Linked DNA regions of Nothobranchius furzeri. The protein of the gene in region 1 interacts with the protein of each later gene in a pairwise test. Links are inferred from orthologs where the notes say so. Each region holds a gene or a part of one and is shown on either strand. Other genes may lie near its edges.

Region 1 (3,817 bases):
ATTGATTAGCTATTAATACGGACTAGCTGTTAACATTGACTTGCCATTAGTTCAGACTAGCTGTTAGCATGGACTAGTTGTTAGCATTGATTAGCTATTAGTATAGACTAGTCATTAGTTCAGACTAGCTATTAGCATTGACTAGCTGTTAGCATTGATTAGCTATTAGTATGGACTAGCTGTTAACATGGACTAGTCACTAGTTCAGACTAGCTGTTAACATGGACTAGTCATTAGTTCAGACTAGCTATTAGCATTGACTAGCTGTTAGCGTTGATTAGCTATTAGTATGGACTAGCTGTTAACATGGACTAGTCATTAGTTCAGACTAGCTATTAGCATTGACTAGCTGTTAGCGTTGATTAGCTATTAGTATGGACTAGCTGTTAACATGGACTAGTCATTAGTTCAGACTAGCTATTAGCGTTGACTAGTTGTTAGCATTGATTAGCTATTAGTATGGACTAGTCATTAGTTCAGACTAGCTCTTAGCATGGGCTAGCTGTTAGCATTGATTAGCTATTAGTATGGACTAGCTGTTAACATTAACTACTCATTAGTTCAGACTAGCTATTGGCATTGACTAGCTGTTAGAATGGACCAGCTGTCAGCATTGATTAGCTATTAGCATTGACTAGCTGTTAGCGTTGATTAGCTATTAGTGTGGACTAGCTGTTAGCATTGAGCCTCCTTCAGCCTCCTGTTTGATGAAACCCGAGCAGCAGAGAAACTAACCGGGTCAGTAACCCGCTAACTAACTGCTCCTCCTGCAGTCGATGCCGGCTGTCTACAAGATCGAGCTGAAGCATGGAGAGTTCACCTGGGAGGTGAAGAAGAAGGAGAAACACTTTGTGGACCTCCACAGAGAGCTGAGGACCTACAAGACCTTCATGAGAATTCCGCTGCCTTCACGCAGGTAAAATGTCTTCATGTTTTCTGTCCCGGGCTTCGAACCAACAACCCCCTTACTGATTTAATCTCTGCAGTCACACGGTGAGGAGGACGATATCAAGAGGCGAGGTGAGGCAGATGCCAAACCTCCCCAGAGGTAGAGCAGAGGAGCTGGGGAGAGAAGAACAAGTAGCCAGCCGCAGGGTTGGTGTCTGATCAGAGACCCGCTTGGGTTGGGTTGCTTCTGTTGAAGTCGTTATTTTTGTTTTCTGATCAGAAACAACTAGAAGATTACTTGAACAAGCTGCTGAAGATGCAGATGTACAGGAACTACTACGCCACCGTAAGATCCACAACCTTAAACAGAAAAAAATACTTTTCTGATGTTTTTATCCTTAAAACTGTAGAAAACAAACATCCTCAACTGTAAAATATTCTATATTTACACACACACACACACACACACACACACACACACACACACACCCTGTTTGCAGATGGAGTTTATGGACGTCAGCCAGCTGTCCTTCATCCATGACCTCGGACCTAAAGGACTGTAAGGAAAATCTGTTAAATTTTCTCATCCTTCAGTTTTAGATTTGACGCACAAACTTAAGTTAATTATTGACTTTAATCAAATAACGGAAAACTACAGAGATTAAATAATCTGGTTAAATGAGGATTTTATTCAAATATAATCTCATAACTCTCTCAGTGATGTTTTTGAAATCATGTCTGAGGATTTCTGAGCTGATGGAAAGTTTTGATCTTCAGAGTAAATATTATTACTGAGTAAACATTTTTAATGTACTACTGATTGTATACACATGTATATAATCTAGAAGAGTAGAGGTAGATAAACCGGGTATTAGCCACACCCCCTGAGTGTTCCTCGTGTCTTCTAGAGAAGGAATGGTGCAGAAACGATCCGGTGGACATCGGATTCCCGGCATGAACTGCTTTGGTCACAGCAAGATGTGCTACCGCTGGTCCAAACGGTCAGTCCATGCAGACCACCCAGAACATTACATCATAAATTAAGCACTGTTTTGTTAGAGAGGTAAACAGGGCAGGTTTCGTTGTTTTAATTGGACCAGAACCACAAGTTCCGATGGTCCAGGTCTTCAGAGCCACAGTTTGCCCCATTTTAAGGCTGATCTGATGATGGACCTGTTGTCTCCGTGATGACGGACCTGTTGTCTCTGTGATGATGGACCTGTTGTCTCCGTGATGACGGACCTGTTGTCTCTGTGATGACGGACCTGTTGTCTCTGTGATGACGGACCTGTTGTCTCTGTGATGACGGACCTGTTGTCTCCGTGTCCAGCTGGCTGGTGGTGAAGGATTCCTTCCTGCTCTACATGAAGCTCGACTCGGGCGCCATCTCCTTCGTGATGCTGTTCGATAAGGAGTTCTGCATCAAGATGGACTTCAAAGACACTGAAACCAAACATGGCCTCCGCATCGACAGCCTCTCCAGGTGTGTGCAGCGTTTTTCTTGGTCCCACCGGAAACACGGAGCGCTGCTGAACATTGTGTGTGTGCAGGTCGTTGGTGCTGAAGTGTGCCAGCTACAGACACGCCCGCTGGTGGGGGCAGGCCATCGACTGCTTTTCCAAGAAGCACGGCGCCGCCTTCCTCAAGGACCACCGCTTCGGGTCTTTCGCCATGGAGGAAAAGAACATCCCTGCCAAATGGTAACAATTAGGGAGGTTCCTCTCAGGTTTTTTCCTCCCGATCCGATTCCAAGTCTTTTTTTTAAGAGTCTGCCGATCCCGAGTCCCGATCCGATACTTAAGAAATGCATTAAGACAAAAGGACACACCAGAGTTGTCCTTTAATCTTTTGATCACTAATGTGCTTATTTCTTGTATTTCTGTCGTTTCTTTAGTTTATCTAACATAAAACATCACTTATTTAGGAAGTATATTAATGAGGAACGTGTTAATATGAAGAACAAATCAAAGAGTAGCCTCATTTCTAATAGTTTACTCAGCGTGCGCTGTATTGAGTGACAGGGATGGCAGGGCACATGACGGTAAGCAACAGGGTCACTCTTTTCAACATAACACCTGTAGAGCTGCTGCGTCTGTAAAGGTAGGAAGAGAACACCGATCCTCCCGTGAGCCACGCAGACTGCAGAACCCGCGATTGCAACCGGACACTCGCCGGTGGGAGGTGCTGCTGTCCGTAGACTTTCATTTCTTGACACATCTTTTATTCGTGTCGACGGGCTTATCCGCATTGTTGCAGCAAACTGAGCAGGAAGAGTTTTTTTAAGGTGGTGCATCAGCTTTGTAGCGTTGAACATGGCAAAACCAGTTCCATCGTGGTAAATGCCCAGTTTGCACACATTACACGCGTCTATTACACTCCTTTTGCTGCTTGTTTTAAAATACCTCCAACTTACAGACGTTCTCTCTCTCTCTCTAGAGGCCACAAGTGTGCTCTGTGTGACCTGTTATCTCCCGAGCTACCTTAACTTGTGGGGCTTTACGGTGTGGTTGTCTGTGAAACAGAGCACTGGTGAATTAAAACCAAGCCTTTTATAATCTTTCTCAGGATGGATTGTTGTTTTAAATGGTTAAATCAGATTATTCCCACCTGATTTTGGTCCGTTCAAAATCACCTGATCAGATCGGAGCATCCCTAGTAACTATAGCAACCAGCTAGCAGAATTATGTCCAGGCTGGACCTCCTGTTTGTAGGATTTCCTTCTTCTTTACAGTTTTATTAAACGAGATTCTGGGAGTGATCGCTGGGATCTGGATCTGGCTCAGACCTGGACCTTGATCTGTCTCTCTCTGAACGAGGAACACAAGAACAGGGATCAATAATTAGTTTACGTTTTTATTTGGGTGTCAGGAATCTTTAACTCATTCACTGCCAGCGTTTCTCACCATTTTTATTTTAAGAGTAACAGAAC
Region 2 (4,590 bases), on another chromosome or scaffold:
CTACGTTTTGGCCTGTCATCCACACAAAAACAGAGTTTTTTCACACAAAAACGGATATTTTTAAAAACTCCGGCCAAAGTGAAGATCTGCGTTTTCTCCGTTTTGGGTGTCTGCGTGTGGACAGACAAAACCGGAGTTTTAAGGTCCGCAACGTCACTTTCCGCGACAAAAAAATGCTGACATCACGTGTGGGACCTGTTTACGTGAAAAATGGTATGCCCTCAGAGCTGCGCTCGCTTTATCAATTGTCCAAGTGCTTTTTGCTTGTTTGTTTTTGCAAGCGGAATTACTGCTCCTTGCGGAAGACCACAGATGAAGGACGAGGTTAAGAACGGGGGAAGTACTGCCGCCGACAGGTCTGGCATGTCCTTAACAACGTATTTATCCGGGTTCGTGTGGACAGTTTTTTTAAAACGAGGTGGTGTGGATGCAAGTTTTTGGAGGGGCGGATAATCTTTTTTAAAAAAACCCGGCTACGTGTGGACTAGGCCTCAGTCTCTAAAATATAAATATATGAGAACACAACATGACATGAGAATAATACTCGTAAAACAACGTGTTTTAGCTCCGTTTGTTGGCTACAGAAGCGCGTTTATAAACAAGAAACATGAAGTCGCCACCTTAAACAAACGGAAGGAGAAATTATTTGTGTGATATGCTTGTCAGCCACTAGATGGTGCTATCGGATTAGAGAAATACTCCGAAAAGAGGCTTTAAAAGGACATGAATGTCACCAAGCCACACACTTCTTTACATTTTTTTTTGGCCGAGTTTATTGGCACGGTAAAAATTATATCGGTGAGAGTTAGGAGTTTCAACAACGACACAGCCCTACCACTTTACAAAGAAATTCCAACAAAAACACTGAAACACCCGTATGGTCCTGCTTTATCTACATGAAGGACACATCATCATTCAAAGATAGATTATTCTAGAACTGGCTAAAGACTCTCCCAAAGCATATTTAGCACATTTATTTCTTTAACACTCAGTTACTGAACTTTTCAACAGCACCTGGATCTGGATAAACAGGACAAAGAAGAGACAGTAAAAACAGGCTGCTTCTGGTTGCCATGTCAACACTTGTCCAACTCTGAAGAGCACACAGATCCACCAAAAGCTGATGAAAACAAATAGGAGCTGGATGGTAATGTGAGTATGATGGAGTAACTCACCTGTTCAGGCTGGCTTCAGCGTGACCTTCATCACCACCCTCTCCTTATTCTGCTCTTTCTACTTATTCATCCAACGATTTCCCTCTTTCCTGTTCATTTTCTCTCTCCCTTTCCTTGCATTTTTTATCCAAAATTCTATTTATTTTTTGTCATTTTGAAACATGTTTTTAATCCTTTTTTAAAATATTCTTTATATTATAAATGTTTTGTTTTTGTGAAGCGTGATTTTTATCTTGAGAGGAGCTAAATAAAAGATCGTTTTCTTTCCTCTTTCTTTACTTCAATACAAAACCAACATAAACATAAATAAAACACACATTACTGGACTGGAAATAGAATATCAGGATTGGTCAGTAATGTCTGACATTTGGAGTTCCAGATTTCAGGTAATTTTAATAAACTGGAGCTCAGCTTTTGTTTTTTGCACCGTTCAAGACTTGCGTCAGTGTCGTAGATGTAATTCTAGTAATCTATGCTTGAATTAAATAGTCTGCTGCTCTCAATTAGCTGGATAGAGGCTGTTCTTGTGACTAAAAACAGAACGTTCGAAAACATTAACGATAAACTCAAAGAAGAAAAGGAATGGCTTTCTTTAAACCATGCCTTGTTTACTACTAATGAGCTTATTTTTCTTACTTCATTTGACAAAAGAAGAGAAATGTAGGAAGATTTGGTGATAGTAACAAGGAACCGGTAGAGGTAAAAAGCATCCGGTCATCTCCCACTGCTCCTGTACGGATACAGTTGGTCGTGCAGCTGCATCCATTCATAAAAAAACATCTTCACACACACACACACACACACACACACACACACACACACACACACACACACACACACACACACACCTAGCAATCACAGGTGGGTCACCAAAGGTTTCCCCAGACTGAACATTCATTTTGATGCACATCCAGAATATTCTATAAAATCTGCTCCACTGGACCCCAGGAGAGCCACACATCTCTCCCTAAACGACCCAAGAAAGCCAGTCCTTGCAGGCTGTTGTTATGTAACATGATTGTGATTTCAGCAGCAGAACATGGTCAGAGCCGCACTACCATGGAGATTCTGGGCAAATAAAGGACACTGGATACATGAATGCTGTCAGCCACTTTAATCCCAATCCAATTACTTTACCCACTGCTGTGTTAAAAGCCCCCCAGAGACGGGACCATTCACAAACCAGCCTCTAATAAACGAAAAAGGCAACTACCTGAGCCACTTATCATCTGACGAAAATCACTTTACTTTAATTTGACTCGATAAATAAGTCATTGGAGTTTAAAATCGTTGCAACAGTACTAGATGCTAGAACAAAGCAGGAAAGCTCCGTTTTCCACGGCGGCTGTGAAGTATCCTCTAACGGTCGCCATGTAACGGTATGCACTGAGGGAAGAGACCGTCTCCGTGAATGGAGGAGTCGGTGTGACTCCCAGCATGAATGAGGAGAGTAGGCTGAGAGCGGATTCGTGCCATAAAGTAAAATAACAGACTACGGGAGGTCTGGGACGTCCAGGGGTGGAGAAACATGGAGGAAACAGATTTACTCACCCTAACACGCTAGGATTGGGTCAGCTAACAGGGAGATGAGGTGGGAATCAGCGGGAAGATAGTTTCCTCTCGGTCTTCTGGGAGCCAGATGTCGGTGTGGAGCCGCGGGGACAGACGTGGTTCTGAAGGTCCACCCCGGTTCTCAGTCACGCCTGGAGCGCTTTTTGCGTCTTCGTGTGGTGAACGTGAGTGAGTTTCTCAGAGTTCGTGAAGGAGACGCGGGTCAGGGCGGCTGGCAGCCGGAGTTCGGGGATGGTGACACTGAGGGTTCGGGCTAGTCGTGGTTCCGCTGAGAGTCCGAGTGCTGCTGCGCTGTCTGCTGCTGCTCTGAGACCGGCTGCTGCTGGAACCTGGAACGTGGAAACGCCTCTCTCTCTCTCTCTCTCTCTCTCTCTCTCTCTCTCTCTCTCTCTCTCTCTCTCTCTCTCTCTCTCTCTCTCTCACGGTAAAGCACGCTGTCTGACTCTGTTCAGAGATTGTCTATTAAAAAAAAACTCGCTCTGAAATTGTCTTGCTAATTATATTTGTTATAAATATTTGCTTGCAGCATTTCAAGGAGACTTATTACGAATAGTTAGATCCTGATAGTTCTAGGGTATGAAAATCAAACTTTAATCTTTAAAACATGTTCAAGTTTTTGCTCAAAATCCCTATTACATAAAGCAGTTTCAGTTTCTTGACAATTTCAGTACTTTCCAGAATGAGTCATTTCAGGACTCTGTCACTCTCCCCTACTTCACACTGGAAGCATCAGTGGCGTGCAACAGCAGCAGACGTCACTGGTTTAAATGGAGTCCAGACTATCATGGTGATTCAAACCATGACGTCTCAAGGGATTTTGTGATCTCACGGGTTCAGCGAGGAGCACAGCCCAGAAGAAGCTCCACAGCTGAGATTCTCCCGATGTGTACTGGCTATATATATATATATATATATATATATATATATATATATATATATATATATATATATATATATATATATATATATATAATCTCTTAATGTATAATTTTAAACAAAACGGGAGGTTTGCACCACCTCCCTCAGAGCTCCACAGGTGACCATCATGACCACAGCCTTGCATGGCAGCCAGACAGCTGCATGGCTCAGCTGCCCTGGGAAACAGGAGCAGCCAGCCGCCAGTTCCCAGCCAGAACACAGAAAACGCTGTTCACCCGCGCAAGTTTTTTTATCCAGCCAGCGTCCCTACTAGGACGTTAGTCCAAGCAGTGTTATGTTAAATGCACAGCATTTTCCCCCATTCCACCAGTGGAATAAAGTACAGAATTGTCATTTCATTTGCTGATAAAATGAAGCAGACTTCTTGGATGATCTCTGATTGCATTCAATACCACAGCTTGCCCTATTTAAAGTTAAAGTCCCAATAGTCATCACACACTGGTGAAATTCAAATTCATCTCCGCATCAGACTCATCCCTGTGGGGAGCAGCTGCAGCTGTACATGCGCTCGGGAACTATTTGGTAGTTTAACACCCCAATCCAACCTCTTTAAAGTTGATTGTCACGTAGGGAGGCCCTGAGTCCCATTTTTAAAGTCTTTGGAATGACCCAACCAGGATTTGAACCCTGAGCTCCCAGAGCGGACACTCTACCACCAGGCCACTGAGAAGGTGTCCAAATAATTCCAAAAGTCTCAGGCTGAGGCCGCTTCCACACCAGCCATTCGGATCTAGGCTATTTTTTTTTTCAGAAATGTAATTTAAAAAAGAGATTTTTACTATGACATGTTTAATGGTAAACTACAGTCTTCTGCAGAAGTGTCACCAGGTGTTGGTGTCTTCATCAGCGTTTTGTGTCCTGCACTTGTCAGCTCTGCCAAGTTGGCCATGCCCACAAATGCTGG

The links.
Region 2: the proteins of pld1b (region 1) and astrocytic phosphoprotein PEA-15 interact in a two-hybrid assay, tested with the Homo sapiens proteins (2 studies listed by BioGRID). The link is inferred for Nothobranchius furzeri from reciprocal best matches to the Homo sapiens genes PLD1 and PEA15.

Annotation. Positions count from the first base shown.
Region 1 is NC_091747.1:63,413,941-63,417,757, forward strand, and holds part of pld1b (phospholipase D1), read left to right. Parts: intron 1-773; coding exon 774-916; intron 917-986; coding exon 987-1,095; intron 1,096-1,168; coding exon 1,169-1,234; intron 1,235-1,388; coding exon 1,389-1,447; intron 1,448-1,796; coding exon 1,797-1,889; intron 1,890-2,218; coding exon 2,219-2,371; intron 2,372-2,438; coding exon 2,439-2,588; intron 2,589-3,817. UniProt on the Homo sapiens protein: Function as phospholipase selective for phosphatidylcholine. Implicated as a critical step in numerous cellular pathways, including signal transduction, membrane trafficking, and the regulation of mitosis.
Region 2 is NC_091742.1:81,270,628-81,275,217, forward strand, and holds the start of astrocytic phosphoprotein PEA-15, read right to left. Parts: upstream 3,092-4,590; 5' UTR 2,727-3,091; intron 1-2,726. UniProt on the Homo sapiens protein: Blocks Ras-mediated inhibition of integrin activation and modulates the ERK MAP kinase cascade. Inhibits RPS6KA3 activities by retaining it in the cytoplasm. Inhibits both TNFRSF6- and TNFRSF1A-mediated CASP8 activity and apoptosis.